Saccharomyces cerevisiae S288C: one gene and its partner. The protein of the gene in region 2 purifies or fractionates together with the protein of the main gene of each other region. This does not show direct contact. Each region holds a gene or a part of one and is shown on either strand. Other genes may lie near its edges.

Region 1 (13,028 bases), on a different chromosome or scaffold from region 2:
TTGTTAAAACAGTTTATCAGATTAATTCACGGAATGTTACTTATCTTATATACTATATAAAATATGAATCATACTAAGTGGTGGAAACGCGGAATCTCGGATCTAAACTAATTGTTCAGGCATTTATACTTTTGGGTAGTTCAGCTAGGGAAGGACGGGTTTTGTCTCATGTTGTTCGTTTTGTTATAAGGTTGTTTCATATGTGTTTTATGAACGTTCAGGATGACGTATTGTCATACTGACATATCTCATTTTGAGATACAACACGCTCCGAAGAACTCATCCTTGTTAGCTCAGTTGGTAGAGCGTTCGGCTTTTAAGCGCATTTGCTTAAGCAAGGATACCGAAATGTCAGGGGTTCGAGCCCCCTATGAGGAGTTCTTTACTTTTTTGCACGTTTTACAAATATGCAGAAACAAAGACAATACATATTGTATCAGTTGGTTATAGTGTTTTGGACTTACAAGGTTCTGACAATATACATTAATGTGTTCCTTTTATTGAATGAAAAAAAAAAATAATTCTTACATCTCAATATGAAATTTTATCCTTTACAGTACAAAAGTAATTATTTCGAGAGTCTAATTAGAATGATATCTAGAAAAGGCTTTCCAGTTGAAATTCACCACTGGAATTTTTGGTAAATACACCTTCTTCTGTGATAATTCCGTCAATAAGCTCATGTGGAGTAATGTCGAAGGCTGGATTCCAGACATTGATTTCAAGAGGGGCAATACCGACCTTTCCAGTGATTGGCTCTCCTGACTCATTCAATATCAAGGAACCATTTTCAGGATTAATTACTGTACCAGTAACAACCTTGAATTCCTCAGGGTTACGTTCTTCCACAATAATGTCATCGCCAGTTTCGGTTACATTATCGATAGTTGTTTTGGGAGCTACTACAAAAAACTTAATTCCGAACTGCTTACAAATTACAGCAAGTTGTAAAGTACCAATTTTATTTGCTGTATCCCCATTACGAACAATTCTATCAGCTCCAACAAATGCTGCTTTGATTGGAATTGGACTAGTTCTAATTCTATACGCGATGGAACTATCAGTAATTAAAGTTGATGGAATCTTATCATAAACTAGCTCGTATGCTGTTAGCCTTGACCCTTGATTATAAGGTCTAGTTTCCAGTGGGAAGACATGGCCCATCCTCGGGCATTTTTCATTGTCCAATCCCGAGTCTGCCTTGTCGGTTTTAGCAAGTGAATCCTTCCACAAAGAACGGATAACACCTAAAGCCGTGCCATATCCAGAGGTTGCTAAGGATCCAGTATTACAAATCGTCAGAACGGCAAATTCGTCCTTGAAACCGTCCTTTTGTAACACGTCAATCAAATACTTAGCTCCATTATCACCCATTTTCATGTTATTCGCCAAATCCTCATCTATCAATTCACAGACGTAATTATATAAACTACCGTCAAAAGCCTTTAGGTCACTTGAGGATTTCAGTATGTTCTTTATCTCTACAAGAGAATTTGATAAATTAACGGCTGTGGGTCTACTACTCAAAAGGAAATCTAGCCTCTTATTTAGCACTGTTTTTGTAGATTCCCAGTTAACTAAAGAATACAGCGTAGCAACATCAGAAGTTGGGTTGTGTTTTATTAATTGTACCTCAGTCAAAACAGATAACGAACCCACAATTGCAATTGCCGGGGCACCTCTCACCTGCATACTTTTGATGACTGAGTACCCATCATCAATTGTGTGAATTGGAACGTATTTAGTAGTATATGGTAAAAGTAATTGATCAAGTACCTTTACCGAAACATTTTCTGGCTCCGATCTATCAAAGACGATGGCTTCCAACGACATTTTTTGTCAGCAGTTTGATAGATCACTTTGTCGGTCGTAGATATTGCTCTTAATCTTTTTATTCTAGCATGCTAAATTGATGAATGGGGAATACTTTGGCCGTGCGCCCCATCATCTCATCTTAGTAAGTGAAAAACCGGAAAAACTAACGCCAAGAAGGCCTGTAAAAAAAAAATCTTACTGATTTTCATTTTAGTATATAATACAATTACTATATAACTGAAGAATATTTACGCTAGACACATGTGTGTGTTTCCTCATTTATTTTTTGAAAACTCACTCGTAACAGGGTAAAATGGCTTTACTCCATTTCCATCATTTTCATTATACGTTTCATCTGAGTTTATTGATCTGATATCTGAAGAGTGCGTGGAGCTATAAAATGAATTATGCCCTTCGACTTCAAGGATATGTGAATTATCACGATTTTGAGAATCTGGACTTAGTAATCGATGTATTTCCATAGAAGTTTTTTTCTTATTCTCTTTTTTATGAGGCAAAAATTTGTTACCAATAATATTTCCCAAATGTTGTAAAACTATTCTTACGACGTCTCTTTTCAAAGCAGTAAAAAATTCTTCCCTCGACCACAGTTTGTTATGGTACTTTAAAACAGGGACTCTAACAATCAGGTTATTAACATCGGTCAAAAGGCTGTGTGAACCCTTATAACACACGGACATTAGAGTTTTTCGGATTATAATAGATTTTACATTGAAAAATGTCCCTGATCTTTTGACCATTTCATTGATGTTATAATCAGGTTGCACAAAAAGTGATGCTGACAATTTTCTATGATCACCCTTATGCTTTTTGATACCTTCTTTGCTCTGGATACTACGCAAGTCCCAAGAGTCAACGTCTTTCGCATCGTACACAGATAAAGAACCGTTAGAAAGACTGTGCCGTAAAACTGGAGACGATGAAAAGAAGGAACTAGTGGAAGAACGTGGTACAAGTTCTGGAGAATTGGGTTCTATGGAAGTTTGTTCTATCTTTGGAAATAGATAATTCATTAGTTTTTCCGATGTTTTGTGATCCATCTTGAAAATCAATGGCTGTAGAGAAACAATCAAATCTTGCAGATCTGAAATACCTCCAACTGATGGCCCCAGGATCCAAAAAATTTCTACCATTGGCGCGTTCTTATTATAGGATGAATTTTCATAAAAGGGGGCCAGCAATTCAGTGTAAACGGGATTTTCTTGCTGGTTGAAACATTGTAAGGAAGAAATGGATACTTTATTACTATTAGTGCCATCGGAAGTTTCTGAACGAATAAATGTAGAGGGCCCCAATCCGATAGTCACGAAAGGAGTTTTACTCTCATCGTACAATTCCCATATCAATTCATCTGTTCCAACTTGCCACCTCAATCTTTTCTGTATTACTCTATTACCACTCCCCATCCGGTCGTAAGTTTTCTTGATTGCCGTCATAAGTAACGTCAACTTCAACGTACTAGTTTGAATATCGAAGGTTAGCTCTTGTCCTGATTTCATAAACAATCTTGGCTCGTGAAGTTTGAGGTATGCTCGCGTATAATAGAGTTCCTTTATTCTTTCTTGTAATGCTGTGACAACAGAGACATCAAGATTTTCCAGGTTATTTCTGACCTCATCAGTAAATAATATCCTGGAAAGTTTCTCAACTTTTTCATCCAATGATGATCCAAAGGAAAGTAAATCTTCTGCGATTGCATATACAGCGCAGTATTGTTGACAGTCCGAGGTCAGAACCAATCCTGGAAATGCAATACGAAATCTCGAATCATAAGAGAATGCAGACGTATCATTTGCACTAAAAAATAGGGGATTGGGAGCGACGTAGGTCAAAAACATTGATCTCCGTTTTAGAAAAACATGCTTATCTAATAAAGACCCGTCAAAGCACATTTCAAGAGGAATCCATGGGGGCCATATATCTGACTCTTTGTCGGAACCATATCCATTTTTATGGAAAAATCTACCTTCAGGACCCTCTAAATCCTTTTTGAACAATGTAAACAACTGAATGTCCTTTGAAACAGCGGAATAGCGAGTTTCAACAATAGTATCGACGTCAACGGGAATTCTTTTTCCTGATTTTCCATACACTTGAACTATATCAATTATTCCCATTTCTATATCCCTAGCAGCTAAAATAACTGCTGCGTTCCTTTCAACGTCCGATTTGATCTGAACCTGAGGGGAGATTAGTCTAAAAAGATAATTATCAACATAATCAAAGTCATCACTCGGAACTTCTCTGATGAGTTTCTCAAAGTGCTCAATAAATTCTGAATTACTGGCTAAATCGTCCTCAAGTATTGAACCATAATCTTCTACAGATGTTCTGACCCCAGTCAACACATTTCCCAGTAATTCTTTTAAAATAGTTACGGATTTATAAGTCACAGCAAACCTCATAGATTTCCTTTCGAAAGCACTGGAAGCGTATTCCAAAAGGTGATGCCTGATTTTATTATCGATTTTTAACTCGATATTATGGACCATGAAACGGTTATCATAGGTGGACTCAACCTGCATAGTAGAGGCTTTTCTCATTGATACAAAAGACTCCACGGTATTGGTCCTCAATAGCGATATTCTATTTTGAATTGGCGGTGCATTTTCCAAATTTACATCAGTATCGGAGAGTGAGCTGGAGCTATCACCATCAGTATTTCCTCCAGGAATAGTCTCCGAGATTTTTAAATCGCTCAAGATGGTGTTGACTGTGTGCAATCTGTGGTTTAATTCAGCTACCTCTGCTTTTAATTCGCGTGCATAGCGCTCCGAATTTCCACTTACCGAACCTCCGCCTTTGTTCGATTGCAATTCGCTTAACGTAATATGTAATAATTTTAGTTGTTCTTCTATTTCTCGTTTTCTTTCAGTTGCTAATTTCTCCTGCGTCAATTCTGGATGATTCTTGCCAATCAGACAATTGTGAGATTCTTCGGTACCAAATGGGTAAGCTAGTACGTAACCATCATCATTTATTTTTCTAAAGTAGGATATTCTAGGAGAGTATAGCAATGGTATTGCTTCTAATTTTAATGGAAGTGAGGAACCAAGCGGCACTTGATTCAAGTCTATATAATCCTCATAATCATACCAATCTGATTCACGCAAGTATTCCACATCTTGAGGCGTAATAGGACGTGATGGCTCGTCTTCAAGTATGCCATCGAGTCCAGAAGTAAGAATTTCCTTAACTGCTTCCTGATCAAACAGAGTTGATAATATCCTAATATCTGCTTCTGCACAATCAATCTCACCCCTAGACATCTTAAACTTCCATACAGGTTTTGACTTATTTAATTTTTGGTTCGTATGGGTCAGTTTAACTCTTTTTTGATGCAAATCAATTTTCAGTGAATCAAACCTCCCTTTCAATCCAGTAAAAGTTATTTTGCGGTCTTTTTCAAGATCATATTGAGTAGTAATATGCCGATAAATATGCGTAACCATTAGCCGTTTTAAATGTAGCTGATAAGCTATTGTAAATAATGAGCGACCAAACTTTGTCTTGTTTTGAAGTACATCCGTAAATAACCGTCCTTGCCTAATAGGACCAGATGTATATGTATGAAATAAATTCCACCACTTAAAGAAATGTGTTAAAGCGTAAGGTGCGAGATAGAGACTATTTATGGATCCGTGCTCAGAAGAATAGACACCAAATGACATGTGGATAAAAGATGTTCTAAATCCTTTGTATGTATCATGGTGATCCAAATCTGCGACTCCATCTGGATTCATCAGCTGTATTTCATAATGTGGCCTATTTGGAAGGAACCTCTCTTCGTCACCAGCCTTAGATATATCGCCTTGTTCAAAAAGTAAACCTAATGTCCAAATTACTCTTCCATCGAGCTTCATAAAGACTTTATCAAATTTACTAACTTTGGCAAAGTCTGGCACTGCCAACTGAAACCTTTGGGATTCAATTTTTAAAAACTCTTTAGGATCCGTGGAGTTATGAACGTAAATTGTGGTGCCACCAGACCAGCAGAACGCCAGACCCGCACCATCATCTGTAATCTTATAAGGATCATGTGAACCTTTAATATTTAAGTGGATCTCACTTTCCTCTGAAAACTCGTATATCCACTTCCCATGCACTAAATATCTGAATTTGTCCCAAAATCCTAGCTTTTTGGACGGATCGATGAGAGGTTTGGTTAAAAAATCAAACCAAAGCATCAAAGACTCATAACCGGGTTGCAGAGATTTCCCCCATGTTATTCTGGCAGATGAAGAAGATGTAACCATTGACCTAATATTGAAATATGTTTTGACTGAATTAATTGTACGAATGATGTGCAAACCATATATTGTATTGGCGTCATTATAGGGGCTTCTTTGGGCAGAGCTGACAAAAGGAACATAAACAGTATGAAGCGCGCAAGGTGCTGGCATCTTTTCAGCAAATACAACATCACCTGTTGTAAATGTGTCGGGAAATGATATAGCAGGTATTGGATAATCTCTCAGACGCAACTCCCATAACGCGCTTTTGATTTTGAGGCCAAGAATAATTAGCAAAGTGTACTCCGTAGATTTTGGAACTTTTTTTCCATACTGGTAAACAAAATCCATATAATTGTCTAAAGGGAAGGAAGGACTGCCTAGTTTAAAATCCAAATCTTTTACGACGAGGTTAGCAACAGTACTGGTTTTCTGTCTAGTAAACAAGTGGTATTTCGTACCAAGCTCTTCACGGCTGATAACCCGATAAGGCATACCATAAAAAGAAAGTTTTGCTTTCCTGTATCTGGCAATCCATGACGTTGAAAAGTTTTCTAACAACCTGAGATAGGCCTTTTGCTCATATTCTTGATCATTCGCATAAAACTCTGGGAAAAAACTTTGTCCACGGGAGGTATCATAGAGCGACCTTAAACGTACATTCATGTCCTCATATGTTGATAGCTTTTCCTTGAACTCTTCAAGCTTCTTTAACCTCTCACGTTGTTCCAAAACACCAACTTTCAAAATTAATCCTAACTCCTGCTCAAAAGGATCTTCTTCAATATCAATTAGAAAATCCTGGCAACAAATATGTAAATTTGGAACTTTTTTCGGAAACTGTTGCTGAGGGTATAATCGCTTAAATTCATTCAAATTGGAAAATGCCAATTTAATTTGCTTAAACGATTTATACAACGTGACTATGTTATCCGTTATCATGTAAAATCTAAAATGATATTCGGCATGAAAATGAATCAATGAGGTGTTTATAACAGCGGATTTCTTGCAGATCAACTCTTCAGTGTCTAGCTCAAAGTCATTAATATTTAGCAAGGAAACATAAACCTTAATATGCTTCACATAAACCGATACCACGTACGCTGACAAAGATGCAATTGTAAGATTTTTAGTGGAACTTGAAAGTCCAATCCTCTCGAATATTAGGAGTACCTCTGTATTATGAGGAAGCGTTAGCTCTATAATCATCTTTCCTATATCTACTCTTAATCTATCGAGAACATTGACAGATTTTACACTGCTCACTGAATTTCGGCTCAATTTTGAATTAGGACGAAATTTTATCCATATACTCCGAATATAAAACCACAACCAGATAATATTTACATCCATCTTAAATTTAATCTTGGGAAGTGAAAAATGAATTTCATCTGAGTCGTTAAAACTCAATAACAAATTGGTAAATTGAATAATAACCTCAGGAGAGGGCTTATACGTAGTGCCATCCATGAAACGATATACGGATGCATCAATAATAGTGAAGTTTTTCTCCTGGCTGTCCGCTAACAATATTGATTCTGTAAAAACAACTTTGGCGCCTCTAGTTACGTCAGATAAGTTAAAATTCTCAGCTTCCACAGGATCCAAATTTTTCGGAAGAAACCCAGCGACCAGTAACGAACATGAAATATCCTTCATTCTAAGTTTCAATGACCAGTTAAATGTTTTCTTGGCTTCATTTAGGTCCCCCAATTTTCCACCATTCGCTTTATGAGCCGCATTCCTTTTTGTTCTGCTAGATATTAGCAAGTAAATTTTGTCAAAGGCGCGACTTAAAGTATGCAAAACTTCAATGTTCTCAAGACTAACGTACGAATGTCTTAGTGTAGACTGAACGATCAATTTAGAATTTGAAAATTCATCCAGAAATGTGTCTAATCTTTCAAAGCCACAGACTGGTATAGACACTGGGTTAGCGTCCTGCTCTGTTGGAATTCTCAGGTAAGAGAGTGATGTACCCACAATTTTAATATAGTTAGATAATTGATCAGATACTAGGGCTGTCTTCGCAAATGGCCAATCCGGACGTATTTGCATTACTTGTCCCTTTTTAGGAGTCATAGACAAGTTGTTACGGCTAAAGAGAGCATGTGTGCTGAAGACCTTAAACGTCACATTCTCCTCATCTGATATATGCAGCCTTGAAATAAAATTCGACATTAGTAGTTCAAAGTTAAAACTGGGCAATCGATCAATATCTAAATCTAAAATATTTAATGATCTGTCGTTTGTGTTAGTACATGATGAGGTCTCAGGGCTATCGAATTTGTCCACTAAATGAAGAACTTCCAGTACTTGATGTATAGTGAGGAATACTGAAGGATTTATAATGTTCAAAATGGAAGATACCTTCGTTCTCCGTAAAGGTACATTGTCAAGTAAAAATAGTAAAATATCTGACGTCAGTATGACATTTCCAAATGGAATTCTAACTGCTGTATTACCATCGATATCTACTACAACAGCATTTGCAGAAAGTGATAGTTCAAAATCGCCCCATGTGGGCTTATTTAAGGGTAAAAGTTCCAAAGCGGAGACATTATTTAGAATGGAGATTGATTCCAAGTAAAGTTGAGCACTTGATATGCGAATTGTAAACTTTTTTTTGTAAATCAACTTTACATTTTCTACCTTAAGGTCCAGAATGTTCAAAGTTTTCAGTGGGTAGTGAAAAGGCTTTAGCATCTTACGATATGAAGTGAGCATTTCCGCATCATCACCAGCAGAAAAAGGCTCAACAGGCTCCGAATGCAAATTCTTCCCTTTCTTCTCTGGAAGATGCCAACAAACATCACTTATTTTGAGACTTGATTTCCAATTTTTTAGTATAACTTTTGTGCAGTTGCTGCCTGTATCATCTTCCTTTCCAATTTTACAGACCATAAAAAAACCAGTATGGTTCAAAGTATCTTTCGTTTCAGGATGGGTAAAATCATGCAAAAATGCCTCTAACTTTATGGTATCATCGTGTGGGTGTGATATCGTTATGGATCCGATATTTAATTTATATTGTTTTCCATTAGGCACTGTAAGAGCTAAAGTATGAAAGAAAGTGGAAAATGAGAACACAAGTTTCAAAATTGATAGGACTCGCCTGTTAATTACAAAGGTAAAAGTTTGATCCCGCGGATTGAAATATGTTCTGGAGTCTTTAGTTGAATGTGCAGTGATATGGCTGTCCTTCCCAAATAACTTCAAATCAACATTATGAAACACAATTCCGGGTTTCCAACCTATTCGCAAGGTTATCTTGCCAATATATATTTGAGCAAAATCAGTTAAGATAAACGCTCGTCTTATTGACGTACCAAAAAAGTATCCAAATGAAATTTTTCGTATTGTGGAATGGCGCAGCATCAATATCCATGACATGAGAATACTAGCGATTTTCTGAATTGATATAATAAAAAGCATAAAGCCTAATAATAGTTTAGACACATCCCTTATTTGAGACCACGGTAACATAGACATTGTAGATTTTTTTTCTTGCAATAAACAGGATACTCCAGCTACTAGATATTATGGATGACAAGCCTACTCGAGAAATTGATCAGCAAAACTAAATTGAATGCTTAGCTTTTAAATGTAAGCCTTTTCGTGGGAAAAAGTGTATGATTTAGTTTTCAAAGAAGTACCTTCTATAATGGTAAATTATTGGTTGTGCTCTTGAATATAATGCATGTGTATGCCCTTGAAGTTTTTAATACAAAGCCACTAGTGCAAACAAATCAACAAATCTATTTACCCTTAATGTTCCTCTTTATCAATCATACAGCCTTGCAGATGGATGGTAAGTGATGGACTATAGAACACCTCAGAGATATTTTACGTAGATGTGCGGGATTAAGGGTTCTGAATTCTCCTGCCCGAGGCGCCCAAATTTTTCATTTTCGGATTGCAAAATGATGCCATTCGCTGACAGCCAGTTTTGTATTCATTGAATAAGAATAATGGCAAATTCAGAGAGACAATTCCAGCGATATATCCCGCTTTCCTTCCTTTTTTCTTCCGCAATCAGTTAACTGAATGAAACAATAATGTACTATAAAGGTGTTTGATGAGATCCTTGTCATTGTCGGCATCCAGGTAAATTCCATTAGTAACTGCATCTTTACTCACGATAGCTTCTAGAGTTGGCTCGTGGAGATAACCAAGGTTAAAGACAGACTGTGTAATTGGTAGCCCTTTACCATGACTAACTACTTGTATTTCAATCGGGGGTGTTTTTCTCTTGTCACAAATGAGTAAAACACGATTTATCGAAGAAGGTCCAACATTCGGTATCACTGAAAGTCTTGCTTTTATAAATGCGTGCAAGTTAGCATTGTATTCCGTTATAAATGTAGAGGAATCAACTTCTAGGCTCTTTGGAGTTGATGTTTGCAATACCGAGATTGGGAACCATGACGTCGCAGCCGCCAAGTTGTCTTGTACAATGGAGGCTGAATTCAATACGTACGAGCTTTTGTATGATTTGGAATAATCTAGTGTAGGTACCAGTTTTAGTTTATCTTTATCAGCATGCTGATCTTTGCCAGTTGATGGTACCACTTTCAATGGAATTAGTAATTCTCTACACGATTTTAATTTTGAGATTTTTTCTGCTCTCATTGGAGAAGCTAAAAGCCTACCATATAAGTTATTTTTTAAATTGAAATTTTCCAAATGGAACTGCCCCACCATTTCCTCTTCATCTTTGAAATAGAGCTTCTTGCGCTTATCCGACCATTTCTCGAAGTTTGTAATGAGCGGAGAAACATCTTTGACTCGTTGGGCACAGTTTTTATTAATGACTCTCGTTGGACAATCTATGAGTAACTTCTTATATGCCGATTTAGGTAAACCCATATTTGATTTTGAGAGGTTCCCAGGAGAATTCACAACAAAATATTATTCGAAGGCTCCTATCGTCATCATGTACCGTGGCGCATTGCCAACCTGTCTTATAGAAAGGCCGATGTCGTAAGCGGACCGGAAAACTGGAGATGAACAGGCATTGCCAATCCTACCGCCACTGTAAAAAACAAGTAAGAAAAAGATAATTATGGACGCTGGCTTTCATTTTAAAATAACATCAAGTTCAGATGATACTTCTGAAAAATACCCAATCAGGAATCTATTTTTATTTGGTAGAAGACTACTTTGTTTACTTATAAAAACATGATAACTATCTAAGAATATATGAACTGATTGCGTTTAACTTAACTTTTCCATTTTGTCTTAATCTTCTTCGTTTCCGGTAGTTAATGGGTTTGTATTTTCAGCAGGAACATGACCCAGGACTTTCTTGTTGCTTATTACACTTATCAAGGAACCAAATGACATGCTCTTCATCTGTGCAGTCTTATTGGACAGGTTTTCATAGTGTCACTTACTTGACGCGGATGTAGCAGGTACAGTATTAGTACTTCCCTCCTTGCGCGAGTGAAGAGACTTATCATTCGATACAGTAGATGTTAGTGGGACGTTTTCCGCACTATATGTCTTTTTCAAACTGCTATAAGGAGCTTCAACACCTTTAGATGTAAGCGGTTCCTTCAACGTTAGACGTGATTGTGAGGCGCCCTTCTCATTGCCGTAGATCAATCGTGAGTCATTACCTTCTTTCCTTGGACCACATTGATGGGGAATATGACAAGCTGAACTTTTGCGAGAGCCACTGCAGTTTTGAGTTCTGTTTTCCTCGAACAATGGAGACTCCATCTCAAAAGGTGAAAGATCTGACCCTCGTCTTGCTTCCGAATTGCAATTCAATGGTATTCCAAAATATCCGTTTGCATTACCATCCAATGCTAGACAACTGGGTGAAACACCTGGTAAGTTCATTAATGGCGAAGGATAAAAATCAACCCGTTGGTTGTGAATGGATGCAACACTGGAGGCACGAGACGATTTATGACTACTATCTGAATACGCGCTTGCCGGAATAATGGCTTCATCCCCATGATTACTAACAGCTATTTGAGGTACCTCTCCGGGAGCCGATGCTTTTCGCGAAGAGGATGCCATTAAGTTATCTGCTGACCGGTTGTAAAGCATACCTTCCCCAGTATAAGGTGAATAAGGCGATTTGCAAGGGGTTCTAATTGTGTAACTCATACCATTTTGTGGAGCACTGTTTTTCGTTTCTCCCACTATGGCCAGATTACCATTTTCATCAATGGCTGGTGTATTGACTTTTGACCTGTATACGGAATTCATAGCGCCTGCATTCATATTTGCGCTTTTTGGGATGTCTATATAACGAGGACGATTTGCCCTCTTCCTAGTGTTTAACGTGGTAACAGAGGAAGATGGCGTTACTTTTTCAGAAAGGTTAACAAAACTGTCTACTGGAGTGATATATGTACTGTTTTTGGACCTTTGAGAGCTCTTTCCATTATTATGGTTTCTACTTTTCAGAATCTTTTCTTCAATGAAGTTCGACCTCTCCTGAGTAGAATTGAAACTTGTAAGCGCTTTTATGTCCTGAACCCATTTCTTGAAATTTTTTGATTCCTCTGGAGTTGGTTCAAGACTTGCGGAAAATATTTTAAACGTCCATTCAACGCGCTTCTCGCAAATTGACTTCTTATTGATGTTAGCTTCTTCTTTAGCCTTTTTTTGTTCCTTGGGCACGGAAGAACTCTTTAGAAATTTCGGAACGGACACCATCGAGAGAGCTGAAGGCGTACGTTGATGTTTGCCCTTATTTGAAGCAAGCGTCTTTGTTGGACATGCCAAATCTGAGGTCGTGCTTGATTCTTTTGTACATGTGTCCTCTGGTGAATGATAACTAGCATACCCTTGTAAAACAAAAGTTGAGTCAGTACTATCCTTTAATGAGCAATCATTTAAAGACAAACTAGAGATAGGATATAGATTCGAAGAACTCAAACCCTTTCTTCTCTTCGTCAGTTTCGGATCCTGTGTCCCTTTGCTCGATGGGTGACTGCCAGC
Region 2 (6,803 bases):
TGAGTAATAGCAGCAGTAGTGATCGTAATAGGGCTAACGTGCCAGTTCCTGGCAGTGTCACAACTGTTACTCAAATATACTCAGAGGAAGATTCATCATCAACAGCCGGTTCCTCTCTCGACGATAGGAATCAGTTTTCCTCCAGCTTCCTTAATGCAAACTTTGCTCACACTGCATCATTCTACGGCACAAGTGCACAAAGTAGAGATAGATTTGGATCCTTAATAAACGATCAAGGTACTGCAGGACTTTCCTCACATGGTGGTTCTTTTGCTGCACAGAACAGAATCACAAGTAGATTATCTACCACGTCACATACTTCAGGAAGGGCCATTCCTTCTTTATCATCAAGTATACCTTACTCCGTGCCAAATTCTAACAAAGATAACAATAGCTCGAATAGCAACAGCTCCTCTTTGTCTTCTTCGTGGCTCGAAACATATGCAGGCGGTATGCCCAATAATATTTCTGCAATCGATTCAAATGTTATATCCTCCCCAAAAGTAGATAGCGTGGAACCACGTTTTGTTATCTCCAAACAAAAACTCCAAAAAGCATCGATGGATAGTAATAATGCAAATGCCACTCAATCAAGATCTATATCCCGTTCAGGTTCATTCTCTTCACAGCTTGGGAATTTTTTCTTTTCCAAAAACTCAAAAGAATCTTCAAATTCTAACTCTGCAGGCATGTCTTTTTCTGCCAATTCCAATGGTCCTTCTCCAAACATTAAGAATCCCAATGTTACCAATGGTTCGACGCCTATCCCGAAGCCTATCCGCGCAAGACAAAGCAGCATATATTCTGCATCAAGACAGCCAACTGGTTCCTATACTGATAACTTTTACGGTTCCCCCTCATCTGTACATGACCACTTACCTCCAAGTCAAAGTGTTCCAAGGTCACAACATTCTTCCATCGGTGATTTAAAGAGGTTCTTCAAAAAAAGTTCTAACAGTAACCTTTCCTCGAATAGTAACAACGTGATCCCGAACGGATCACCTCTTTCTAGCGGAATTGCCGTTCCGTCACACTCTCATTCATCGTCTCATTTTGCCGCAGGGAATAACTCATATTCCACTAGTTATAACGGAAATGGAGATACTATTTATTCTCATAGTCACGGCGGTTCAGGAATTCCGTTCTCAAAAAGGTACATCAAAACCGGTGCCGATTTAGGCGCTGGAGCAGGAGGTTCTGTCAAATTAGCTCAAAGAATTTCAGATAACAAAATATTTGCAGTGAAGGAGTTTAGAACTAAATTTGAAAATGAATCCAAAAGAGATTATGTCAAGAAAATTACATCAGAATACTGTATTGGTACAACTTTGAATCATCCCAATATCATTGAAACAATTGAAATCGTGTATGAAAATGATAGAATTCTCCAAGTTATGGAATATTGTGAATACGATTTATTTGCTATTGTAATGAGTAATAAAATGTCCTATGAAGAGATTTGTTGTTGCTTCAAACAAATACTTACTGGTGTACAATATTTGCATAGTATCGGCTTAGCTCATAGAGATCTAAAGCTAGATAATTGTGTTATAAACGAAAAAGGTATTGTAAAATTAATCGATTTTGGTGCTGCTGTGGTATTTTCATATCCATTCTCAAAAAATCTTGTGGAAGCAAGTGGAATTGTTGGAAGTGATCCATATTTAGCACCTGAAGTCTGTATATTTGCGAAGTATGACCCACGTCCCGTAGATATTTGGTCTTCTGCAATCATTTTTGCATGTATGATACTGAAGAAATTTCCATGGAAAATTCCGAAATTAAGGGACAATTCATTCAAACTATTTTGTTCCGGACGTGATTGCGACTCCTTAAGTAGCTTGGTTACAAGAACTCCTGATCCACCTTCCTACGATGAATCGCACTCAACAGAAAAGAAAAAACCCGAAAGCTCTTCCAATAATGTATCAGATCCTAATAATGTTAATATCGGGCCACAAAGATTGTTGCACTCATTACCAGAAGAGACTCAGCATATTGTTGGACGTATGATTGATTTGGCGCCCGCATGCAGAGGAAATATCGAAGAAATCATGGAAGATCCTTGGATCCGTAGCATTGATATGTGCCACTTGGTTGAAGATGGATTATCGTTCAAAGTGGTTAGAGGAGAAGACCATCATCACACACAAGTGGATCAAAGTGAAGCACATATTGCAGGCCTAGAAAAGAAAAAGAAAAAGCAAAATAATCAATAAATAAGCGTCCCCACTTTTATTTCTTTTCCAAGCATTTGTATATAACCTTTTTTTATCCTATTTGAGTATATGTTAAAATACAATGTCATATTTACTTCTGTTAAACTAATTTCATATTTTACCGTTCTATAGAAGCCTAAATAGATTGACCTCCTGTTCATAATCTACTATTTTATCAGAAAAATGTAAAAGCTTAGTATGATAATAATTAATGGAAAAGTTCGTTAAAATATCGCGCCACTAATTAATAATAATGAAGCGGGTAACATTAATTGTCTTACCAAGGCGACAATTCCCTTTTCTAAAATTTCACAGCAAAGAAGCTTTAGAAAGTGCAGTAAATCTACAACTCATAAGAAGGAAAAAAAGCGTGAACATTCAAATCGACAGCGTAACCTTCTGTATTTATTTCTGTTTGTTGTACTTTCGAACTCTCGAATACCATAGAGGAACTATTAGTCTCCATAATGTCACAGGCAGCAAAAAACGTGATAGTAAAGCTAATAGTAGGAGCAGGCCAAGCGGCACCATCACCTCCCGTGGGGCCCGCATTGGGCTCCAAGGGTATAAAAGCCATTGACTTTTGTAAGGAATTTAATGCAAGATCAGCAAACTATCAGCCAGGTGTACCGGTTCCAGTATTAATCACAATAAAACCTGATAGAACATTTACGTTTGAAATGAAATCTCCACCAACCGGATATTTGCTGCTAAAAGCTCTTAAAATGGACAAGGGACATGGACAACCGAATGTGGGGACAATGTTAGGCAGTGCACCTGCCAAGGGACCAACCCGTGCTTTAGGAGAGTTATCGCTGAAGCACGTTTACGAAATAGCCAAGATAAAAAAGAGTGATGAAAGGCATAGTTTATTGGAGATGGAAGGTATTGTTAAATCAATAGTTGGCGTTGCAAAAAGTATGGGTATTAAGGTTGTACCTTGATCTGTAAGTAGTGAAAAGACAAAAAAGTACCGTCAATTTCGAGAAATTTTCAACAGACCTTCCTTCTTCTTTCTACTGATCTATTCTGTAAATATGTATATAAGTTTTAAATTCTCTTTCTCCCGTTATGTTAGCAAAGCTCGGTAGTACTGAAGCTATTCTGAGTAAACGCTTCTCCAACTCTGTATACTGAGAGTTGTTTTATAAGTCAATAAAGACCGGATATTTATATGTATATATTGATTTGGTATAATAAAAATGAAATGCTAATAAAAATGCCTATGAAAAGAGGAAAATCCAGGAATATCGAGTTTTTTCATTTGGTGAACTTCCTTTTTTTATTTTTTTTCCATTTTTTTCTGTTATTTTTCTTGCTATTAATCTTCAATGGGCGGTTATTTGGTTCGTTAACAGCCTGTTCCTGTTTGGATTTAGAGGTAACATTACCAGTGGCCATGGCAGATTTCGCCAATGGCAATGGAACCGATTTTGGAGTTAGCCTCGTGTATAGGAGATAATATGCGTTGGGTTCCTTTAAAACGTCCCTTTCAGATATTATATTAATATACTCGTCGTCGTAAGTGGCCCAGCTACCGTCTGGTTGCTTGCAGTGGGCAATGTAGTGACCTGAAGAAAGGGAGCGGCCCTCATGAACCACCACGCTTAATAGTTGGTATTTGACAGGTAGCTCTTTACTCTCACAATATTCCGTCAAATCTAAAAACATAGGATAAGAAACAGCTTGCTTCATTTTTGATGAGGACGTGCCATTGAATCTGAATTTTTTCAGATGCACAAGTAAAGTTTCAGGAGCCCTTAATATTGAACTATGCTTCACGGCGTTCGTGGTCTTGTGACACTTCTCACAAACGTAACCCTTTTGCTCCTTGTCAACCTTGATTAATTCGGGATTGAAGAAATCTTTAATTGATTTTTCAATAGAAAATCTGCGGTTGGCTGAACTTAAATCACTGGCAGCGGCAAATGGTGAGCCATTGTTTAAATTGACAGATGAAGAGGATGAAAGAGATGGTTTTGTGGCAGCATTGGAGGTAGTGGTAGAAGTGGTGGCTGAAGTGCCGTTAATGCTATCACTCGACAGGTCAGAATTTGGATCAAGTTTTTTCTTCCCTTTCAAGTGCAACGATAAATCGTAAAATGGTTGTTCTGTTTTAGATATACTGCCACAAGATTTGCAAGTAACGATCTGCTTTAAAAGACCACCGAATATGTCATATATTATCGATTCTATAAGTTTATGACCCTTGGGAACAGAATCTTCCTGTAATCTTGACATCAGAGACATGAAGTACTCATGTGAATCTTCCTGCTGCCATTCGCTCATCATACAATTAATGTCATCCAATCTGGAAATCAAATGTTTTGGATTAATGTAGGAAGCTGAAACGTTCTTTCTAGGGTTTTTTGAGACCGGTAACCACATTTTTTTACTTGTTTCAGCTAAAGTATAGGAAACGGAATTTTTTGAGATGGTGCTATCGTATTTCCCCATTAGTATATCAAAAAGATAATGTTGTATCGAAGGAATGTGTAACATAGCCTGTACAGCAGCATTTGTGTAACAAGTAACACCATGATTCAAAAGGCCACGAGGCTTCAAATTGGTGAATTTGTCGCCCCAATTTTTAACAATTCTAGTAGAGTTTAAAGAACCACGATCATTGATATTTTCATTGAATTGGTAAAAGTTTGATAGATTTGATATTGTAACCGGAGGGGTGATTGACCTAGATTTATGTTTCAGCTCTTCTTCCTCTTCTTCCTCCTCCTCTCCCTTTGGATTCCTGTTTCCATTTTCTTTGGTGTTGTTTACTGGTTCGTACCGATTTACTTCCACTGTACTATTTTCCATTAAATCTTGATATAAACTCTTTTTTTCGCCTTCAGAAATTTTGGAGCTGGAATCGTTCTCCTCTTCTTCAGGGAGCTCTTTTTCCATAGCACTAGAATCATAATCCATGTCATCCTCATCCTCGTCGTCTTCTATTTCGTCATCACTGCTAATGCTTGTAGACAGTTCCTTTCTTTTTTCCTTTTCATTCTCATTAGATGAATCATCAATGGTTGCTAATGGAGAACCCAAGTTTTCACCAATGTCTTCACCAATGTCTTCACCGATGTCTTCACCGATGTCTTCACCGATGTCTTCGCCGATGTCTTCACCATCGCCCTTATCTGCGTTGTCGCGTTCCTTCAAACTAGCTTTTCGGGGTTCTACATAGTCTCTTGCCTCATGAAATATTTCACCCTCTTCCTCTTCCTCTTTTCCTACTTTGTCATCTTCCGAAGAAGAGGAAGGAGGCTCCGTAGAAAGCTCCGTAGAAAGCTCCGCTGACTTCTTGGCACCAGTAGCATCTGCAGCATCTTTATCATTTTTAGAAGTATACAACAATAAAGCTTCAGCCATAGATTTAGGAACAGTGTTGGTTTTCTTTCCGTTTGGCCTGTCTATCAAGTTATTTTCTTTTATTTGCTTGGATTCGGCCGTTGCAGCAATAGCTGTGCTATTACTATTGTTATTATGCTGTTTTCCTATCACAATATACGAGCTATTTTCCGGCGCGGCGGAAGTATCATTATTATTCGATTTGTTAGAGATCATTGCAGCATTGAACTGCAGGGGATTTGATAGGATTCTATCTACCAAAGGTTTGATCGATTCTTGAGTGGTCATAGTCTGTGATTGTGATATGACAATAGGACGGATTTACAGATACTATGAGTTGTAGATTCTTTCCGTTAGTTTTTCTATGAAATATTATGTGCAGTACAGAACAAAAGAGGCTTCAGACACTATGCATGCTCCTGTGTGCAGTATATGATGCTTAATAGCTTCTATGAAACAAATAAAGGACAGAAGCGGGGATGGAAGACTCTGTTAATGCTTTACAGGGAAGTTTTTCCCGATGGTGGCACTATATAAAAATAAGAACTTTTTTCTTTTCTTTTGGGGATTTTTTTCGATGCGAAAAAAATTTTTTGACGGCATGAGGCAAGAAGTGAACAAAAGAGGTGGTGTCTGGGGGATGCAATTTAACTTCTTACTTGTGCGCGTTCATCGGAGAAAGCTGGCCGGGTGATACACGAATACGGGTTTGCCGTTTTTAGCCGCCGAACCTGCATAATGAAATTGTGCCCCCATGAGATAGGGCGAACAGTTCGGGATCCCCAGGACAATTCTTCACTACCGTGGCAGGAATAGTAGAATCAAGGTTAGTGCGCCACTCTGACTCTGGCGGGATAGACGTGATTAGTGGGTCTTCAACACTATTGTGTGAGGGAACACCTCCAAATTCCACAAGGTCTCGACCCCAGTTCAATATTGTTCCCTGCGGCGTCCCCATACTTAGTCCGTAAGCCGTATCTATATATGCCTTCAACTTTGCAGAGTTGTGGTGGATCCGAAACGGTAGGCGCAATACGTTAAGCTCGTGCTGCAGGTTTCGCCGATCGTAAATACTAATCGCGTCACTGTTGCGTCTGACAACGTACACGTAACGCCCGTTATCGCTTGTAAGGATTTGTACAATCCCACCTGCAACTGTGCGGGTGTAGTTCAGTCTCTCTAGTCGTTGATGACGGCAGTCTACCTGAAACATTTCATTCGCATAACTGCCAC

The links.
Region 1: the proteins of MRPL19 (region 2) and RRG8 purify together in Saccharomyces cerevisiae (affinity purification with mass spectrometry; 2 studies listed by BioGRID). This does not show direct contact.

Annotation. Positions count from the first base shown.
Region 1 is NC_001148.4:756,557-769,584, reverse strand, and holds RRG8 (Rrg8p), read right to left. Parts: upstream 10,938-13,028; coding exon 10,104-10,937; downstream 1-10,103. Other genes in the region: S-methyl-5-thioribose-1-phosphate isomerase MRI1, read right to left, coding at 598-1,833; HOB2 (Hob2p), read right to left, coding at 2,091-9,560; RGC1 (Rgc1p), read right to left, coding at 11,457-13,028. UniProt on the Saccharomyces cerevisiae protein: Required for respiratory activity and maintenance and expression of the mitochondrial genome.
Region 2 is NC_001146.8:288,553-295,355, reverse strand, and holds MRPL19 (mitochondrial 54S ribosomal protein uL11m MRPL19), read left to right. Parts: upstream 1-2,686; coding exon 2,687-3,163; downstream 3,164-6,803. Other genes in the region: serine/threonine protein kinase NPR1, read left to right, coding at 1-2,219; YNL184C (uncharacterized protein), read left to right, coding at 2,473-2,799; ubiquitin-specific protease UBP10, read right to left, coding at 3,480-5,858; SWT21 (Swt21p), read right to left, coding at 6,289-6,803.